Linked DNA regions of Neurospora crassa OR74A. The protein of the gene in region 2 interacts with the protein of the main gene of each other region in a pairwise test. Links are inferred from orthologs where the notes say so. Each region holds a gene or a part of one and is shown on either strand. Other genes may lie near its edges. The genes, in order: NCU07071, NCU03387 and NCU05778.

Region 1 (7,129 bases), on a different chromosome or scaffold from region 2:
ATGTTCCAAGACAGTTTTGTGTTATACCCCAGAAGAAAACCATTGCTACATGTTCTCCATCAAATCCTGTGCTGAACTACCCAGGACCGATGGTAAACATGTTGACTATCGAGATGGTGATCAGTCAAGAAAGGTTTAAGGTTACTGGAGACGGTCGCGAGATTATAAACCTAGAAACTCAACTCAAACATGAAGTGTCGCCTCGCCAGCCCGTGTACACAAAGGTAACATCATATCATGTTCATGAATTCATAAACGCCCACCATCGCATACAACCGCAATTCCTATATCCCCTATCCACTATGGTAACTCATACATCTCCAACACCCCATATCCTATGCTTTCTCTCTTTACCCCCCCGTCCCCCGAGGTCTCCCCCTCCCCCCTAACCCATAACCCCCCTTTTCCCCTATTCCCCTCGCCCCTTTCTTCCCCCTTTAGCCCCCCATTCCTCTTCCCCCCTCTTCCCAAAATCAACAAAATAACGCCCTCCCAATGTAGTAAAAAGTGATATGATTATGGAATCCTCGCTTTCCCATGTGTCGTGCCGAAAGATAGGTACATGAATGATGATGATGCTTTTGGTGTGTCTTGGACAATAAGAAAAAGTGAAAAAGAAAATCCCCTTTTCCACCTCTCTTCTCTTTCGCCGATTCTCTTTCTTCGTTCCGCTTTTCAGCTGCCCACCTTTTTCTATAACCCTATGCATCCCAGTTATCCCTCGCTTTTTCCCTCCTCTTGAAAACAAGTCCCTCTACTCATAAGACATTATCAGGTAGCCCCCTCTCCTCTCTCTCTCTGGAATCTCTCCTTTGTGTGGTATATACCTTTGGAGGTGACGGTATTGTTGATGTGTTCGAGGTGGGTCGACCAGGTGAGAGGTATTGTTGCCCACGGACTTGGCTTGTTGTCGTCTGATCCGTCCGGGTAGCGATGTGATTGTTGTAACCAACTTCGGCCTGCCCACGGAACAACGGGTGCCATCCGATTGTCCCTCTCGCTCACACGAATGTGTCTGATGGGTGCCATCAACGTTGATCGGCCACCGGATTGACTTGCCCTCCCTCGCTGATGTTATCCGAGCCAGTCCCAGTGAAGGGTCCAGCGGGTAGCATCAATCGTAACCTCGACCCGTTCGTCTCGTATGTGTCTGTCCGTGATCATGCCACCGATCACGTTTGAACTCCAAAGTATATATCGACCGCGCCACCAGTCCTTCGCATCCTCAACCAAGGGTCTTCGACCACGCCACTGGTCACCCTTTCCTCCGCTCCCCTCCTCCTGGGTATAAGATATGTGAACCGTGGACTTCGTGACCCGCCGTTTCGTCCCAAACGATGAATACAAAACTGCAGCAGCCTCCAAAAAACTTCCAAAAGAAAACTATGAAGCACTGTATAGGCGTTATGCACACAGAAAAAAAGAGTTAAGGAAGCTACGTAAAATTTGGGGGTATCTTTCGTCATCAATGATCCTCTTGCCCTCCTCCGCTGACTCCTTCATCGTCTCTCGGCTCCTCGTTCCTCCACTATGCTGGATGTCCTTGAGAGTTTCGGCCTTCGCGTGTAATGTCATCGTGTGCTGGTGGTGTACTTTGACGTGTTGAGGTGTAGCCATCGGACCCTTCTCGTCGTCGGATAGCTTGTGCGGTCCTAGGTATGGCTATGAGCTGCTATTAGGGGTTGAGTTCCAGACCACTCGATCATGTACGACCGGTAGCCCCCACCCCCAATTTTTTCCATCTCTACTTGTAGTAGCGATCTATCCACTTCTCACCCTATAACCGATTGGAAGAAAAGTCTCGAGTTAGCAGTTTGTTCCTTTGCCATGAGTTGCTGCAAAGCCGAGCGTCCAAAGTGGCAAAATGGCCAAATCGCAAAGGGTGGTTTAAATTCCAAGACCGCTGGTGCTGGGTTCGACTACATTATCGGAGAGGTTGATGAGGAGCTGCGCCAGGCAACGCTTGGTGGCGGCATCGTCGCGCAGAACCGAAGAGAAGGTGGCATCGCGAAGGGGCTCTGGCAGGCACTGGCGGAGTGCCTCGCGGGCACGAGCATTGTCGCTAAGTCTGTTTGGATGATAAGTCAGTACAGAGACCTACCAAAATCGAGTAACAGGGCGAGAACATACCTCAAGAAGCACCTAACAACATGTTTGAGAAGCCTAGCCGTCTGCTGCTCTACCAGCTGAGCAACCATGTTGCTGAGGACGGTGCCGACAGCGTAGAAGCGCTCATAAGTGGCACAGATGTAGTTAAGACCGTTGTCATCAAGCAAGATCTTCTGCACGATGAAAATAGCAACCGTCTTGCTGAGCTCAGAGCCGGTCTCCATGATCCTCAGGCAGAGGGGAATAATCTCGGTCGTAAGGAGAAAGTTGATGACCTCTGTGGAATCGTTCTTGACAAGCGCACCAATGACTCCCAGCGAAGTGAGCCGGAGGTATTCAAAAGGACGCGACTTGGACGTCGTGTTAAGAAAGGGGTAAAGGAAGAGGGGGATGTGTGCTGAGGAAGAAAAAGGTTAGCAGGCTAGCCGGTCCTGGCTTGTAACAAAGGGGCACCTACCATTGAGGAAGAGGGTACGTGTCTCGTTGTGAGACGCCACACACTGAAGGAGGGCGAGGGCATTGCAGACCCTGTTGGAGGCGGCAGCGGTGAGCTGAGAGGGGTTGAGGAGGGTATAGACACTGATAATCTCCTGGAGGAGAGATGTCATGACTCCTAGACATGGGGATTAGCGCATGATCGATCGGCGGGGGGAGAGAGGGGGAGGGGCTCCGAGGTATAGGTCGGTTCATTGTACTTACCGAACGAGTGCCAGAGGATCAGGGCCAGTTCGGGGACCTGCTCTCGCTTCTTGCTCAGCTCAAGCAGCGCAGCCTCCCTGGTGTTTTCATTCAGCAAGTCGGCAATGTACTGGAGCGTACGGCGGTTGTCATCCGAGACGACGGGCTCAATGGCATTATCCTGTGCGTGGGTGGCGGCGGCAAGGGCGTTCACATTGTTGTGTGCGCCGGCCAGGCGGTTGTAGTGCTGCTGCTGGGCAACATTGGCGGCGGCGGCAGCAGCCTGGGCGTGCTGATGGTGAGAGGTCTGCTGGTGAAGCCAGGCAGAGTCGGCCTGGGGGTATTGGTGGTGGCCGTAAACATGGGGATTCTGCATCATCTTGGGCTATGTGTTCGAACGGAGAAATGCTGGCGACGGCGCGAAGTAGTGGGTCAAAGACGTCGGGAGCTGTGTGGGTATCAATCGAGGCAGGACTCGGGGTGGCGCTATTGTTGTCGGTGGTGGTGGTGGTGGTGGTGGTAGTGGTTATTATCTTTCGCCAGGAACTTGACGATGGGGCAACGGCAGGCCGGGCGGCATGAGAGGGGTGTCGTCGGGCGCAGGAAGGGTCCTTCTCGATTGCGAATATCAGACAGAGCAGCGGTCAACAACGGCGTCGTCGGGCGGGTCGGGTCGTGTAGAGTAAGGTAGACAAGTGGGCGAGGCGGCGTCGAGGCGGGTACGTAGCGAGGTGGTTGTGCTTTGAGCAAGCGGGCTGTTGAACAAAGGCGGCGGCGGCGGCGGCGGCGGCGGCGGCGGATTAAAGTGCAGATTGCAGAACACCTAGTCACAGGCCCGGCAGGCAAGGCTTGACGATCGCGGCGGGTCTTGGAAGTACAGTACGTGTGTATTGGTATGGAAGCGAAATATGGAAAAAAAAAAAAAAAAAAATGAGAGTGTTGGTGTTGTGGGTAGAGAGGTCACGGCACGGTAGAGTTGGAGTCGGTGACGGTGACGGAAGTGGATATGTAGACTGGAGTGAGTGAGTTGGGTGGTGGTCGTATGTATTCCTGTGGTGTTGTCGGCGGGCAAAGAGGAAGGGAATCAAGCAGATGAAAGAAGAACGAAGACCTAGCTGCCCGGTGGACCTATGGCGGCGCCCACCACCCGCCCGCCTGCTGGAGTCGACTCGTCTCCTGCTCCCGCCGGCGTTCGAGGGTCACACTCACACCCACTCAGGGCACCCACAGCAGCCAGAGAGCGGTCCAGAGCCGCACCCGCGACGGGGACAGTTTGCGCACAGACCATCAAGCTCAACATGTGGGGAAGCTTCGGTCCAGTGTTGGATTCCGAATTCACAGTTAACCCTGGAACGCGGCACTTCCCACATATAACCCTGCGATGGTCAGGGGATAATGCGCCCTGATTGGATGACAGATGCCGTCTGCATTTCGACATCAAATCTGCCCGCTGTCTTTGGTGAATCAAAATTCGGGTGATCATCGCTTTCCGGGCGAATTTCGATCAGATAAAACTGATGGGCCGTTAAAAATAATGGCATATATCTCCAGGCTCAACTTCAACAAGCACTTGAAATCCACGTATCAGAGGAACATCGATAGTCTTCATCCCGTCCCGTCCTAGATGTTCTCTCGGCCTTGGAAGGCACCATGTACCTACTCACGTTTCCTTTAAATCTCGATGAACTTCGATTGAAGGCGAGCTTGAAGGTGAGCTTAAACTTATAATTGCCATTTCACCTTCGTTTTGATCCGATACCAACCCATAAATGGGATCAACAGCTTAACGTTCAGGACTCATACTTCTCTTTGATATCCCGTAGATGTGCAATGATATCTTGATTCCCCTTCAGACCACCAAGCCTAGCCTAGGTATTTTTTAACCAAAAAAAAGCCACACACACACACACACACACACATAAACACCAGAAAATGCAGACCCCTTTTCCTTTCCCATCTCATCTACCAGACGCCGTCCCTCTACTTCCTAACCCTAAAAGTCTTCAACACATTCTTCCTCCCCCCAGGTCCCTTCTTATACTTCCCATGCCCACCTTTTCCACCCTTGGCCCCCTTCTTGCCTCTCGTCTTCTTATCGTCGCCCTGCTTCTTAAACGGCACGAACCCAATCTGGGTTTCCGTGAGAGCGTTCTTGCCGTCCTGGGGCAGCAAGTAATCAGGCACGTGCTTGAGATGGGCTTGCTGGCGCATCTTGGTGCCGAGCTCGCCGTCGTGGCGCAGGTGCGACAGCTCGTGCGGGTTCTCTTCAAAGTAGCGCTTGAGCGTCTCGGAGCGCAGGAGTTCTTGTCGCAGTTCGCGGGTGCGGGCTTCGCGGATGGCAACTTTTGTTACGGCGCGGAGGGCTATTGCTCAGTTAGAGAATGAATGGTCAAATGGACGAAATGATAAGGGGGAAAGGGGGTACTGACCATCGTTCATACGATAACGGAAAGCCTCCATCTGATCCTTGTTAAAGTTGTACGGCTCCAACTTGCGGTTGAGCTTGGCCTGCTGGCGCATCACCTTGGCCAGAACCTTCTCGTCCTTCTCGCACTGCTTGATGCTGGTGGGCTTGTGCTTGCCAAAGAGATCGTGAGGGACGACCATCGATAGAGCAATACCGGCGCGACCGGCGCGGGCGGTGCGGCCTATCCGGTGAATGTAGGAAGAGGAAGAAGTGGGCATGTCGAAGTTGATAACGGCGGCAACGTTTTTGAAGTCGATGCCTGGGATCATTTGGGTTAGTATCCAGAACCATGTAGGACCAAAACGCAGACAGACTTACCTCGCGAAACACCATACTCCTGATCCCTCCTGCCCTTCTTCTTCTTTCCCTTGCCGTTCTTCTTCTCATCGCCCTCCTTCTTTTCACCTTGCTCCTCCTTCTTCTCCTCAGTCTTCTCGTCCTCCAAGAAGACCTCGCTCCTCTCATCCGACGCAATGATGATATCATAAATACCCCTGTTAAACTCCTCGATAATCTTGATCCGTGTATTAATCGGCAACTCCGAGTTCAGCACACAGCTGCGAATGCTAAACTGCTCGAAAAACAGCTTCAAGCGGTACGCGCGATCGATATCCGCCACAAACACCAGACAGGGACCCTTGATCAGCTGCAGCTTGAAGATCAGGTAGCTGATGAGCCACTTGTCATCCTCGCCGCACTTGACGTAAAACTGGGTGAGCTTCTCGTCCTCGTTGCTGAACTCTTCCTTCAGGTCCAGCATGGTGGGATTGCGGCAGAAAAAGCCCTTGAGCGTGTCGAGCTCGTCAGAGACGAGAGTGGCGCTCATCATGGTGGTCTGCACACCGCCCTTGGGCAGCGAGCGGGCGATGTTCTCCATATCTTCATCGTAGCCGTAGGACAGGACGAGGTCGGCCTCGTCGAGCACGAGGTACTGTAGCTTGGCGACGCTGAGAGCGCCGGACTCGATGTTGTGCCAGGCGCGGGCGGGAGTGGAGACGATCACGTCGGGGGCATTGGCGAGGAGGGAGCGCAGGACGGCGTCGGACACGTTGTCGGTCAACTTGGCGGATTGGATGTCCTTGGTGCAGAAGGCGGAGAAGGCATCGATGGCTTTGTGGACTTGGTCGGCGAGTTCGCGCGTAGGGACGAGGATGAGGGCGGAGGTGAAGGGGGTTGGGTCGGTCTGTTTGTGGTTTCCTTTTCGTTAGCATCCAACCTTGTCACAACACAACTTCTTCTCCCGGGTGTCAAGGTAACTCACAGCCTTCCTCTTAAGAATGCCGCTCAACACAGGCAACACATATGCCGCCGTCTTACCCGATCCTGTCTTCGCCTTGCACAGCACGTCCTGGCCCGCCAGCGCAAGCGGGATCGCCTTCCTTTGCACGAGCGTCGGCTTCTCAAAGCTCTGTTTCGCAACGGCCTGCACAAGGCGAGGGTCGAGACCCAGGTCGGAGAAGGTCAAGTCGGCATCGTCCTTCTCGCTCTGCTTCTTCTCGTCCTTTTCGTCTTGTTGTTTTTGCTCGTCCTTTAGTTGTTGCTCGAGCTCTTGCTCCTCCTCGGTTTGTTGCTGCGCTTGTTGTTGGGTCGCTTCGGGCTTCTCCTCCTGTGGCTTGACACTCTGCGACTTGGACTTCTTCTCCTTCTTTTCCTTCTTCTCGGTTGAAGACTTCTTGGTCTTCTTCTGGGTCTGAGGCTCGGTCACGACTGACGGCTCGTCCGTCTCGTTCAACTTGCGCTTGGCCATTGTGTCGGGGTATCTAGGTTGTGAAGTTTGGTATTAAACTGGTCTTGCGCGACAGTAATTGTAAGTTAATAACACGGTGAAAGTTGGTGATCAGTCGACTAGAGTTGGCCGTGGTATGGTCTATGGAC
Region 2 (6,957 bases):
GATTGGTGTTTTGTCACTTTTCAACTTTGGATCTTCTTTTGGACTTCACTTGAATTATGATCGGGTCGTACGGTATGACACCTTGGTTGTTGAACCGCACTTGACAATGGAATTAGAGATTACCTACCTGTGGGTGAGATATGACAGGACGGCAAGAATATTTGAAAACAAGCGAGAAAAGGCAGCTGACCATCGAGCACTAATGTTGTGGCTTTCACGATCAGACCTGGACCCCAACGACTTATGTGTTGAGCTGGATGTTCTCTGGATTTCAATCCTAGGCAAGCCGAAAATCCCATGTGATCTCCATCAACTTTTCTCGACCTGATAAGCCCAGCCGTTCGTGCCTGGAATTGGGATATCCAGACCAGGAAGTCAGGGGACTCGAGCAAACTTGAACCCCTGTGTTTCCAGCGAGCCAATCGGTAGTAGCCTACATTTCACACTGTTTCAGCTGATCATCGACCATTGGACGTCACTTTCATCCCAAGACTCGCACATATATATATAGTGTAGGACCAGCCCATCTCATCATCAACTCTGCTCCTCAGACTAGCCCTCGACCACACTTGTCAACTCACCATCTTACCCATCAATTATCGTATAATCAAACCAACTATGGCTACCACACCGCCCACCAACTCCTCACCAGGAGGCACCATCACCCTCCGCCTCCCCTACAAATACTCCCACTCCTCCCCACCCCCACAAACCATCCGCTTCCCACCGCTCGGCTTCCTCCACCGCACCTGGTCCGTAACCCACTCGACCCTCTCCATGTGGCGTTCGGCCCGCAACGTCCGCATCACGTACCGCCCCCTTACCCCGACTAAAGATGGCCGTCCCCGTATCGACGACCTGGTCGAATACGAATCCCTCTCCGGTTCAGGAGGCGTCAAGACCGTCGCGGGAGTCGACACGGGTAACTGGGACAATATCCAAGAGGATACGACCAGCTGGGACTGGCGCGGGAGCGGGTGGTTGTTTTTTGTGAGCAGTCATTGGGAGGTGCTGGGTTGGGGGGAACGCAAGAATGAGGAGACCGGGGAGGTCGAGGAGAGATGGGCGGTTACGTGGTTTGCGTCGACGCTTTTTACAAAGGAAGGGGTGGATGTTTATAGTGATCGGCCAGAAGGGGGGAGTAAGGAGTTGGTGGAGGAGGTGTTGAAAGTGTTGGGGGAGGTGTTGACAGAAGGCGGGGAGGGGACGAGGGGCTTGAAGGAGATGGTGGAGAGGGATATGAGGGAGGTGAAGATTAGTTTGCCTTGGAAGGAGAGGTGAGTGGGATACAGGTTCGGGGGGATTGAAGTCGGATTGGGAGTTTTTGGATGGGATTATATTTGGATGGGTATCTTGTTGGCTATTTATGTTGACGCTGAGGTTTTTATCTACTCTGGATTTTGCGCAATGCAAGAATAATGAGGATGCTATGCTTGTTCGTCTCTTGGACGTCTTGGCTCGTGCTCGTAATCTGACCTCTCCGAGCGGTGATGCCGGTGATGGTCATGCTTACCATCATGGGCATCACGGTCTTTGTGCTTGCGATACTCGCGATCGTCTCGGTCCTTGCTAGACCGTCTATGGTGCCTGTCACGAGAGTGATCTCTCCTCCTTTCCTAATCTCTTTCACTTCCGCGGCTTCGTTCTCGGTCACGATTTCTCTCCCTTTCCTCATGGTGACGACCCCGTTTGTGGTCCCTGTCATGGCCATGGTGACGGTCGCGGTGTCGGTCTCTATCTCGCGATCGGTCTCGATCATGGTCCCGTTCCCGCCTCTCCGACCGAGACCGCCTACCACAGTCAGATTCGTCACCAGACGCTCTACTATCATGTTTTTCCTTGCGATATTCTGTTCGCCTCCTCTTTTCTCGTCGTCGCTCTTCTTTTCGCAATTCCTTTAGCTCCCTTTGCCTCTCCTCATTCTCCCGTTCCCGTTCCTTGTTGAGATCACGCACCATCTTGGCACCCCTCTTCATCATCGCTAAAGGATCACTTGCACTCAGTCTTTCCACCTCACGAGCCTTCCGTCCGGGATCCTCCTTGCCGAACACGTTCTTGGATGGCACCAACGCAGCAACGTCGCCATCCGGTGTCGCATACCAGGGGCCATTTCTGGCTAACAAGCCTTCCGCATCCCTGCCAGCCGCACTGGTAAAGCGTACCTGATGCTGCTCCGCTTCCTCACGCTTTTTCTTGGCTGCTTCTGTCTCTGTTATCTCATCCTTCTCTACAAGCCTCAGCTCCTCTTCAGAAAACAACGTGATATGACCCCTGCTATCGACCAGCGATGCAGTAGTAGCAGTGATGGAAGTCGACTTCACTGGGCCAGACAGCTCCCTCGCCGCATTTTGCCCTGCCGTGGCCCGTTCCCGCGCTATCCTCATTTCAAAATCGGTGTCATCCTCGCCTGCTCGCTTGCGTTTGCGTCCTTCTATCAGAGGATCACGTTCACGCTGACGGCGCCCATGATCATGGCTGGATTCTGATGCTGGCGGTTGCTCCTCAAGTGGCGGCGGAACTTCACCGCGCAGAATGGCTAGACGACGTTCGGCGTCGACCTGTTGCATGCGTTGCTCCTCAGCTTCCTCGCGAGCACGGGCCTCGGCCTCGTCACGGCGGACGCGGGCGACGTTGTCTGTGTTGTAGACGTTCCATGATTTCTTTCCGAGAAGGTGACTTGTATGCTGTTGGTAATTGTTGCTTGGATAAAAGGAGTCAGTATTCACTCACAGAGGCATATTGACGTTGGGACAAACGATGAAATCGTCTCCCTTCAAGTGATTGGATAGTTGAAGACGACAACATTGGGAGAACCAGGAAGCACCTCTACTTGGAGTCAGTCTTCTTATCTTATCTTGCGGCCAACACGTGCCCCGCTCTTTGACGTACGTTGGTCCCGTTGGTCAGGGGCGAGTCCAGGCTGGGCGCCAGGGGACCAAGTCTGGGGATACACCACTAATTGAAAGCTGGCGCCTTTGTACAAGTAATCTGACAATATGCTCCATAGTACAGCCGCCATTGACACCATTTCCTGTACAGCGTCAGGGACACAGCTGAAACCACCCAACGTAGTAATAGCGTTCCCTTGACACAACAGACCTCCATCCGCATCCCCTCCTCTCTCAACTCAACAAAACACCGAAGCTCAGCCTCAAAGGACAGGCATCTTCTGTGGTCATACCCGGCTATATCGTCAATTACAATCAACCGAACCAACATCCACGACGTGTCTACGTACTTGCGCGCGAATCCAGTGCGCCCACTCCACGCTCCAACGAGACATAGATAAACACCACCAAGGGCGACTGGTTCTCCCCATTTACGTCCACTCACCTACTACTCCTCCTCGATACCCGTAACTTATAATCCACACACGACACTCACCATGGATATTCGAGGCAACCTCTTCGGCAAGAAGCCCCAAACCCCACAAGGAGGAGCTGGTCTCCCCGGTCGTCCCGTCCAACAAGCAGCCGGAGGCGGATACGGCGGCGGCGCAACACCAACCAACTACGGCAGCCCAGGTGGTCGCGCTCCCTCTCAGCCCCAATACTCTGGCAGCGGCGCTGGAGGATATGGAGGTGCGCCATCTGAAAAGAGCTATGGCGGCGGCGGTGGCGGTGGTTACGGCGGACAGCCCGCTCCTGGCGGATACCCTTCTCAGCCAGCCGGTCGCGGTGTCCCCCTTCGGCTCGCAAAGGTGGATGACAAGACGTTGCAGAGTCTCTACATCTTTGGCAACATGTGAGTTCCCTGCGCTACCCATGGTCAGTCTATCCAATCCAAAGTTGTTAACCTCGTACTTTAGTTGCGCCGTATCGCCCAATGATTTCCCCCCGAACCACGATGGCACCGATCTATACATCCGCTTGACAGGAAGACAGCTACGAGGAGATTACGTGGTGACGGCACGCCCCACCCCCGGCTTCCGTCCGGGTCACATCAGCTTGTCAGACCCCCAGCGAACATGGTGCGGAGTTGGCATGATGGACGAGTTGATGGGAGAGGTCTACGATCCCTTTGCCCGTGGAGGCGACGCCTACATTGGCTCCATGGATGTTGAGATCGGATTTGCGTCAACCAACCGAATCGTCGATACCCCCTATGACCAGGATGAGCTGGCCAAAGTGTTCCTCAAGACTTTCCAGAACCAGGTCTTTGCTCCTGGTCAGAGGTTCCTGCTTGACGTCAAGAACATCCCTTTGGCTGTCATGGTCAAGACGGTCACTCTGGTTGACCTGACCATGCTGGGATCGGGCGAGGCTCCCACACGCAGTGACCCTGGAGCACGCGGTATTCTCACCAACCAGGCCAGCATTGGCTTCTACAAGGATGCCAGGTCACCCATCAAGCTCAAGGGCTCCAACAAGCGCCCAGCGGCCAACGCCATCATCGCCCCAGACTTCAAGTTCGAGAATATGGGCATTGGTGGTCTGGATACCGAGTTCTCCACCATCTTCCGTCGTGCCTTTGCCTCTCGTATCTTCCCTCCCGGACTCATCGAGAAACTTGGCATCATGCACGTCAAGGGTATGCTGCTGTATGGTCCTCCCGGTACCGGAAAGACCCTGATTGCCAGACAGATCGGCAAGATGCTCAACGCCAGGGAACCCAAGGTCATCAACGGTCCTGAAGTGCTGAACAAGTACGTTGGTCAGTCTGAAGAGAACATCCGTAAGCTCTTCGCCGATGCCGAGAAGGAGTACAAGGAGAAGGGAGACGAGTCCGGCTTGCACATTATCATCTTCGATGAGTTGGATGCTGTGTGCAAGCAGAGAGGTTCGGGTGCTGGTGGTGGTACCGGCGTCGGAGACAGTGTTGTCAACCAGCTGCTCTCCAAGCTTGACGGTGTCGACCAGCTCAACAACATCCTCCTTATCGGAATGACCAACCGTAAGGACATGATCGACGATGCCCTGCTTCGTCCTGGTCGTCTCGAGGTTCAAATCGAGATCTCGCTTCCCGACGAGCATGGCCGTGGCCAGATTCTCAAGATCCACACCTCCAAGATGAAGGAGAACAAGGTCATGGCTGACGACGTTGACCTCGCTGAGCTTGCCACTCTTACAAAGAACTTTTCTGGTGCCGAGTTGAGCGGTCTCGTCAAATCCGCTACCTCGTACGCCTTCTCCCGACACATCAAAGTCGGCACCATGGCTGGCGTTTCAGAGGACGTGGCCAACATGAAGGTCAACCGCCAGGATTTCCTCAACGCCCTCGACGAAGTCAAGCCCGCCTTCGGCGCCGACGAGTCCGAGCTTGAGAAGCACCTGGCTTACGGCGTCATCCACTATTCCAAGAGTATCACGTCGATCCTGGAAGACGGTCTGCTCTACGTCAATAACGTGCGCAAGCTCGAGCGCCTCAAGCACATGACCGTCCTCCTTCACGGCCCTTCGGCCTCTGGAAAGACGGCTTTGGCCGCCCATATCGCCATGAAGTCCGACTTCCCCTTCATCAAGTTCATCACCCCCACCGACATGGTCGGCTTCCGCGACGAGGTGGCCAAGAAGGATTACATGCACAAGATCTTCACCGACGCCTACAAGTCCCCGCTCTCCCTCCTCATTATTGACAACATCGAGCGCATTATCGAATGGAACCCCGTCGGCCCGCGCCTGTCCAACACCATCCTCCAGGCCCTCGTCACCCTTTTGGTTACTCCTCCACCTAAGGGCCACCGTCTCTTGATTCTCGCCACGACTTCGCAGCGTACCGTCATGGAACAGTTGGACGTCACTGAGTCGTTTGACTACCAGATTGCCGTTCCCGCTGTGAACAACCTCCAGGAGTTGGGCGCAGTGTTGAACGAGGTGGGAGCGTTTGGTGGCGACCAGGCGGCTGTCAGTGAGGTGTTGAATACCCTACGCGAGTATACCGGGTCGGATAGCGTGGGTGTGGGTGTCAGGACGATCCTGACGATTGCGGAGAGCGCGGACACGAGTCCTGATCCGAAGGGATGGTTCGTGGAGAAGATGGCCGGGTTGATTGCTCGGTATAATGTTAGGTAGAGAGAGAGAACTAGAGCTGTAGACAAGGAGGTATATACATTAATATGGGTATATGGGTGGATATCAAGTGGATGAGCTTCAGGATATAGACAGTGATGCCTTTTGGGAATAGAAGTAGGTTAATGATGACCACTACTTTGTTATAACTGTTCCAGTCTTGTTCCGAATCTTACCCCTGCGTTTCATGGGAAACCAAACGCGAGCGTTCGTTAGACTTGTATATATATTTCCATGCTAACGTATCCGAGATATTCAAAGGACCACTATTTCTGGACCTACGCTACTATGTATACCTTCACAGCACGAACGAATACTTACCATATTGGTCAGCGCCTCCATGAATGAGATGCGAAAGTAGAAGAAACTCGAAACGGTCGACAGTTAAAAATACAACTGCGGACAATCAGCTGTCAAAATCCAACGGCCCGGTGCTATCACAGTCCCCGACGACGCCTGCTTAGTAACGAGCTTAAGATGATCAGATACCCGCTCTATCGTGATGAGCTTACCCCCCTGGAAGCTGTCCTTCCTTTCTTTTTTTTTTCCCCTTTTTTTCGGTTTTTCTTTCCTTTCTTTCTTTTTTTCCCTCTTTTTCTCTTAACAACATATAAACAAAGAAGAAGGGAAAAAAACAACTAAGAAATGGTTGGAAGCATCATATGACGCCCAACACAACCACCACGGGGGCTGTCTCCATCGTGCGAGGCAATGAAGACCTTAAAACAAAAAGGTATACCATGGACCTGGCTGCGACGAAACTAATCAACGCCCTAGACGACTACCTTCCTTGATTTCTCCATGCACACTCACTCACTGACGGGTTTGTAAAAAGGTAAGGTAAGGTAAGGTAAGGTAAGAGTAGCAAAGGCTTCCCATTTTTCATGGTGAGCTGGATGCAGTGTGGCTGGCTCACTTGGCAAGTGGTGGTGGGTTTGTCTTGATAACT
Region 3 (6,557 bases), on a different chromosome or scaffold from region 2:
GACTCAAGCATGGCCAACTTCTCCGGGTCAGCCGCGCCAGCGCCTCCTGAAGCCGCACCACCGCTGCTGGCACTGAGGTCCAAAGGCACATCAATATCGGGGTCATCCATGTGAGCAAACAGCCACTCCATGGCAGCGTTGGCATCCGAGTTGCCTGTGGCATGCAGCGCCTTCTCACCACGGACTCGTGGAAATCCCATGGCCTCGAGCATGGCAAGCGCCTCCGCGTTAGGCACAAATGCAGGAGCGCTGCTCTTGGCCGACTCATCCTCGGGCAGGGCTTCTTCGTCAGGCTGCTGACCCTTGGAAAGGTATTCGTCAAGGTTCAAGGGCTCGTCATCAACAATGACGGGAACATCAATCTTGACGGGGACCCAGTTGACAACAGCCATCTTTCGGGCATTGACAACGAGGACATCGGGGAAGGTCTTGAAGGCTTGACGCTTGGTAAACCCATCCTTGCTTCCGCAGCCCGCACAGGTCAGCTCAACGACCTCGGAGGCAGTCAGGCTGTCAAGACACTGCTTGAGCGTGACAGGCTTGTACTTCGGTTCTTGACCCTCCTCCTCGGGTGGAAGCTTCTCCATGGGCACGTCAATGAAGACGCTGTCCTGCTCATTGCTACTGTAGCGGACCTTCTTGCAGTTGAGGCATTGCAGACGCTGCTCCATGACGAAGCGCATGGGCTGGGTGGGATCACCAAGCTCTACTGGATGCTTGGATCGAGTGATGAGCTTGATCAGATGCTGCAAGAGCTCAAAGGCGTCTTGCTGCCGCATGGTCGAGAACTCCTCGTGGCCACGACCCATGAGGTGCTTGAACATGGAAGGCTGGAGACCCTTCTGGTAAGGGACGTTGGGAGTGTGCTCAGAAGCAAAGACATCGGCGTCTGACTTGGAGTACCGGCCGGAAAGAAGACCATCACCAAGCTTGCGAAGCTGTGTTTCGAGGTCCTCGGCAGGATCTGATACGCTGGGGAGAGGACCAAGCTTGTCGCTATAGTACCGTTGTTGGAAAGAGGGCAAGTCGTAGAGACACTGTAGGATACTGGCAAGGTAGCAGCTGTTTCCGAGGTTCTTGAGGCCAGTCAGGCCAGGGCCAAAAACGGGTGTCAACTCTTTGCCGTCCTCAGTGGTCATGGAAAACTCCCATTTCAGGTTCTGCTCGATCTGCATTTCCGTCAAGCTCTTTTCCGTCTTTTCGCGCTCGGCAAGGATAATGCCCCAGTTGGCCAGGTGGGCGCCCAGGTTGTCATCGATGCGCTCTTCGTCGCAGTTGTAGCAGTATACGTCGGCCGTTCCCTCGGGGGTGATGGAACCAAGCTTGACAGCGACGCCGTGTTTGGTCTCGGTCGCGTGAGCCAAACCGTGAGAGTTTCCGCTGACACCACCGAATTGGGCGCGGCCACAACCAAGGTTTCCGCATTCCAAACACAGCCAAAGGTTTTCGTTCAAGTCGCACTTGGAGCAATGGCCCAGATCCTGAGACTCAATCTTGCGAGGCTCTCCTTGCTGCATTGTCAAGATGTGCTCACAGGTAGTGAGCTCTTGTTCCCAGGCCTTGACCTCCTCCTTGCGTGAGAACGTGTTGGCCTTCATGACGGCCTCGATGACGGGGGCGATGGTGGCATCTTCCTTGTTCAAGTTGTCGATTCCGCAGTCCAAGCACTTGACTGTAAGTGTTGTATCGTAGCGATCGCTTTCGGTCTCGGCCGCGATGGCGAGCTTGGACATCTTGAGAGGCGGCTCATTGCGCTCGATGATCTTGCGGGTTCGGCGAATGTTGAGGACGAGCGGGTGGTTTCGCGAGGTGGCATGGAGCTTTGCGTGATTCCGGTCGCCAGCGCAGCCTCCGTTAAAGCACTTTAAGCAGACATCCAGACCAGCTGGGTCGTCCTATTTACAGCGAGGCGGTTAGTTGCTAGGCTGGACATGGTAGATGGGGCTAGAAGAAGAGAGGAAAGGCCAGGATAGAGTACGGACAATGGAATCGAAGCATTGGGTACAATCCTCGCGGTAGACATTGTCGGTAGGCGACGGCTTCGCGAGGTCTGTTAGAATCGGTGTGTCAGAAATACGTTGTCCAGTCCTGAGTTAGAGGCGCACCACACATGATGGAAGCTGAGCTGAGCTCCAAAGAGCATGCAAACATGGAATAAGCAAGACTTACTTGCGGACCCGATGTGGGGGCACGACATGTTGGGCGGATTCGCGATGATGTATGAATGAAATCAACCAAGCTATGTTGTCTGTATTCTTGGTGTGTAGTTGTGTACAACTAGAAAGTCATCGAATTGTTGGATGAAGTCTACCGCCAAGTGAAGTTGTATTGCAGAGGAAGAGAAGATGGAAGAAGCGTGAAGGAAAATGGAAGCTTGCCGTAGCTGCAGGCAGTGAGCTGAGCTGAGGTATGATGTTGTGGGGTAACTTTAGCTGACGCGGCAGGCACTGGACAGCAACCACTCCCCAATCCCCATGTTCCAGGCAACCGCGCTTCATGGCATTCGCCCTGCCGCCTTCCATTTGTTCGAACCCCGCTGCCGTTTCATGGATTGTGACAGCGGACAGGGATGATGTGCTGCAGTCTGGGGACAATGGAGCAGGGATTGGCGCTTGCTTAGGTATCGGTGGTGGACGATCTGTTATGCATTTCTTAACATTGTGGCACGTTACACAGTGACAATGCAGATACGGTTTGTTAAGAAAGTGTCATTTTCCAGTTTGCAATCAAGAGGCAGAGTTTTGGACGGGAGGTACGTTTGACGGCGACAGAAATGCCCATTCGACGAGGTAAGAAAAGAGAACAAGGACCTGACTAAGTACCATTATAGTGTAGAAGCCCGTGCTTAGCATTTTCATCTGTCGTCGGCTGGAAAAAAAAAGTCCAAGGGAAGCGAGTGATCGTCCAGAATTCCAAGTCAACGACGACCGAATCGCGAGACGTAGGTACATTCGGTGTTCCGTAATCTGATCATCTTATCTCCGCGGCAAGTGGAGCTCAGAACTGTCTTGGCTCTCTTTTGTCCAACCGACCAAGCCGACGTCGGGGATGACGCCCCCCATGTCCGTAGCAGCGCGTCTTGTCACTGGCCTAACAGAAGCCTGGCTGTTTTGGTTGGTGATTGTGCTCCGCTTTTGTTAGGAGAGCTCTGACCAACCCCTCTTTTTCGTATCCCAGTCCCGAGTGCAGCAAGTCGCCCCCTTGGGTCATCATCGACTTTTTGGCGACCAAGTGCCGCAAGCCCGCAAATCCGCAGCCAAATCCGCAAATTCCAGCAACTTTTAATCCCCAAGTCCCGTCCGCCGCCAACCTCTTTATCTCGGCCTCTTTGACTTTTCGCCATCCACTCATCACCAGAACTCGTCTCTTGCATCACCGATACCTATCCTACAGAAACAACAAAACAACCCAAGACAAAACGAAACGAAACAAAACAAAAACATCACAATCAACACATCCGCAACCATGTTTTCCAGATCCGTTCGCGCTGTTTCCGGCCGCGTTCTCGCCAACGCCGTCCGCCCTACCGTCATGCCGGCTGCGCGCCAGATTGCGCCCGCCGTTGCCGTCGTCGCCAAGAGGTCCTACCACGAGAAGGTCCTTGACCGTGAGTATTCCCATCGCGGCCACGCATTCGCGCCCTATTCCACCTTGGATATGGCATATCGGCAAACATGTACAGATGCTAACATGTCTCAATATCAGACTACTCGCGCCCTCGCAACGTCGGTACCCTCGACAAGAAGGACAAGTCGGTCGGCGAAGGTCTCGTCGGCGCCCCCGCCTGCGGTGATGTCATGCGCCTTCACATCAAGGTCGACCCCGAGACTGGAGTCATCAGCGACGTCAAGTTCAAGACCTTCGGCTGCGGCTCTGCCATGTGAGTATTGTCTCTTTCGTCACTGATAGACACGGATGCCTCGGGAAGCCATGGGGGCCAAGAAAAAGTGACCGAAGCCACGGGCGATACGAAATTGATACCACACAACGATCAAATGAAACGCGAGCGACGACAAACTAGTTTCATCGACGTATAGTTGCAACTACAACACCTCGGTTCAGCATAAGCAGGGAGGATGAGCAGAGAAATGCGACACCTGAAAGTTGAAACCTCCAGGCCGTTACACCCCAGGTTTCAGTGCTGCTTGGGTGTGCGCGCGAATAAGCGATAACCTCCCCATGCCTTTCCAACGCCTTCGACAAACGGAGAACGATATCGAGAACTACTCGGATTCACTACCTACGATTCCTAAAAAACGACGATAGCTTGATCATTGGCTTCCCAAGGCTTTAGTGTTACCATAACGTTCTGAGCTCAGCTTACTAACTCCCTTCAGTGCCTCTTCCAGCTACGTCACCGAGCTCGTCCGCGGTATGACCCTCGAGCAAGCCTCCAAGGTTAAGAACACCGAGATTGCCAAGGAACTCGTAAGTCTAGACCTGTTCTCCGTACCATGCTCCTATGCCTCTCGTGCACTATGAACTAACCGTGTTACCCAACACCCACAGTGCCTCCCCCCTGTCAAGTTGCACTGCAGCATGCTTGCTGAGGATGCCATCAAGGCCGCCATCAAGGACTACCGCACCAAGAACCCCCACGCCATGCCCACCAACCTCGCTGGCACCGGCGCCAAGTTCGAGACTGCCCAGGCCGCCTAAACCGGTCATCTACTGATTAGCCAGCCAGCTTGGGAGGATCTTAATGGGGCTTGTATGTTGGAGAAAGCTAAAAGTGGATTTTGCACAAAGAGCCGCAAACCTTGAAAAGGTCGGCCATGCATGCGTCGTGGGGTTTGTTGTCTCTTGTTTCTCATGGCGGGGGTTCTTGAAGGGATTATCATATCATCCATTAGCGGAGTCTTTCGGAGTTTTGGATTGATTTGGTGGGTAGTTCTTCTTTCTTGTTGTCGTTGTTGTTGTTTGTCCAACACCACAACCACTTTTTTGGGCTGGGTTGTTGCTGGCTGCGTTGTTATAACAGAAAAGCAAGCTCATTCTCCTTTCTAAACCTTTTATCCTGTTATGCCGCAACCTCATTGTCCCCATTTGTATGTTTATTACGATGACTTATGCGAATGGTATAATGTCAACATATAATGCACCCATACGACTGATTATCATGTGCTTGAAACAGTTGTAGTCATTGTTTCCTTTTAGTTTGATCGAAGCTTCCATCGGCTATTAGCTCACCCAGTTCATCGTTCCTTAACGATATAAGGCACTTCTCAACCACATTCGACAGCCTGCCTCTTCTCTCCCCGGTCCTTCTTCAGCACAGATCACTTTACAACTCCGATAATTCACACTAACCTTTACAACTCCGATAATTCACATCAACCAGCACGTACCCGCCCTTCCCACAAAAGCCATGGAAACGGACCCCGAATCCGACCTCTCCGCCCTTGGCTCTCAGCTCTCAAGCGACGTGGCAGACAACCAGCTCGACATTGAGTCCACCCTTCGCTCGTCCCAGTCCAAAATCAAAGAGCTGAGAAGAGAGCTCAACGCGGTCGACATTGTCATCGACAAGTTATTTGCGAGCTATACTGCCCTAACTAAGGCGTGGTCTAAAGTTGATCAGAAGGCGGGTTTGAGGAGGGAGCGAGAGTCGAGGGAAGGGAACGATAACGGGGAGGATGGGGAAGAAGGTAGAGATGAAAAGGAGGACGATGACGACAAAAAACGGAAACGAAAAGATTCCAGTGAAACAGAAGAACCTACTGCGACTACAAAAAGTAGAAGAAGAAGTTCGAACAGTTCTTCTCCTCCCATAGACGTGTCGGAAGCTACACTCGATGCAGTGGCGAGGATCCTGCCGCTGCCGCTACCGCAGTTGGAAGAAGACAGTGGAAAGAGTGTGGAGGAAGGGGATATGACTGAAGCTGCCACTGGAGGTGTGGGAGGAGGAGGAGGAGGAGGAGGAGGAGGAGGCAGCAGTACAAGTCATCAACAGCAACAGCAAGGAATTAGAAAGAAAATCAACTTGGGTAAGAGAGAGGTGAAGAGGGTTAGGACTGTTAGTCCTGAATCTGGATCTGGATCTGGATCTGGACCTGGATCGGTGATGAAGAGCATTGAGGGGGATGAGGTTGATGGGAGTCACGAGAGGGATAGTCCAACTCTGGAAAGCGAGGGGGAATATGGACAAGAAGAATTGCCCGACAATGGGGGAGAAGTCAACTTTCGAAAGGACTTGCAAGTCAATGTTGTATTTCTGGAGCAGCAGTTCGAGAGATATGAGGAGGACATAAACAAAGGGTTGGAGCTGTATAAGAGCGATATGAACAGGAGGGTCGAAAGGTTGGAAAACGACATGAACGAGAGGGTCGAGAAGCTGGAGAGGAAAGTACACAAGAGCTTCGAGAAGTTGGAGAATTGGATGAGTTGGAACGAATGGGTCGGGGAGACGATCACTTATGGGGGAGATGATGCAGATGATGAAGATGAAGAGGAGGAGGACAGTGAGGAGGACGATGAAGATACTGACGAGCACGAAGACGACGATGACGATGACGATAACGATGATAATGACGACAACTACAACGGAAACCTACCTT

The links.
Region 1: the proteins of NCU03387 (region 2) and NCU07071 interact in a two-hybrid assay, tested with the Schizosaccharomyces pombe proteins (2 studies listed by BioGRID). The link is inferred for Neurospora crassa OR74A from reciprocal best matches to the Schizosaccharomyces pombe genes sec18 and rcd1.
Region 3: the proteins of NCU03387 (region 2) and NCU05778 interact in a two-hybrid assay, tested with the Schizosaccharomyces pombe proteins (2 studies listed by BioGRID). The link is inferred for Neurospora crassa OR74A from reciprocal best matches to the Schizosaccharomyces pombe genes sec18 and isu1.

Annotation. Positions count from the first base shown.
Region 1 is NC_026506.1:257,358-264,486, forward strand, and holds NCU07071 (cell differentiation protein rcd1), read right to left. Parts: upstream 3,854-7,129; 5' UTR 3,167-3,853; coding exon 2,809-3,166; intron 2,723-2,808; coding exon 2,567-2,722; intron 2,507-2,566; coding exon 2,131-2,506; intron 2,069-2,130; coding exon 1,888-2,068; 3' UTR 353-1,887; downstream 1-352. Other genes in the region: NCU07070 (ATP-dependent RNA helicase dbp-9), read right to left, coding at 4,768-5,150, 5,217-5,513, 5,573-6,437, 6,516-7,001. UniProt on the Schizosaccharomyces pombe protein: A differentiation-controlling factor that is essential for the onset of sexual development. Induces ste11 when sexual development is invoked through nitrogen starvation.
Region 2 is NC_026502.1:886,199-893,155, reverse strand, and holds NCU03387 (vesicular-fusion protein SEC18), read left to right. Parts: upstream 1-3,102; 5' UTR 3,103-3,385; coding exon 3,386-3,744; intron 3,745-3,808; coding exon 3,809-6,011; 3' UTR 6,012-6,213; downstream 6,214-6,957. Other genes in the region: NCU03385 (hypothetical protein), read left to right, coding at 619-1,281; NCU03386 (hypothetical protein), read right to left, coding at 1,617-2,676, 2,731-2,738. UniProt on the Schizosaccharomyces pombe protein: Required for vesicle-mediated transport. Catalyzes the fusion of transport vesicles within the Golgi cisternae. Is also required for transport from the endoplasmic reticulum to the Golgi stack.
Region 3 is NC_026507.1:3,795,372-3,801,928, forward strand, and holds NCU05778 (iron sulfur cluster assembly protein 1), read left to right. Parts: upstream 1-3,235; 5' UTR 3,236-3,465; coding exon 3,466-3,607; intron 3,608-3,705; coding exon 3,706-3,880; intron 3,881-4,337; coding exon 4,338-4,428; intron 4,429-4,509; coding exon 4,510-4,659; 3' UTR 4,660-5,124; downstream 5,125-6,557. Other genes in the region: NCU05777 (ubiquitin carboxyl-terminal hydrolase 14), read right to left, coding at 1-1,895, 1,983-2,050, 2,170-2,197; NCU05779 (hypothetical protein), read left to right, coding at 5,369-6,557. UniProt on the Schizosaccharomyces pombe protein: Scaffold protein for the de novo synthesis of iron-sulfur (Fe-S) clusters within mitochondria, which is required for maturation of both mitochondrial and cytoplasmic [2Fe-2S] and [4Fe-4S] proteins.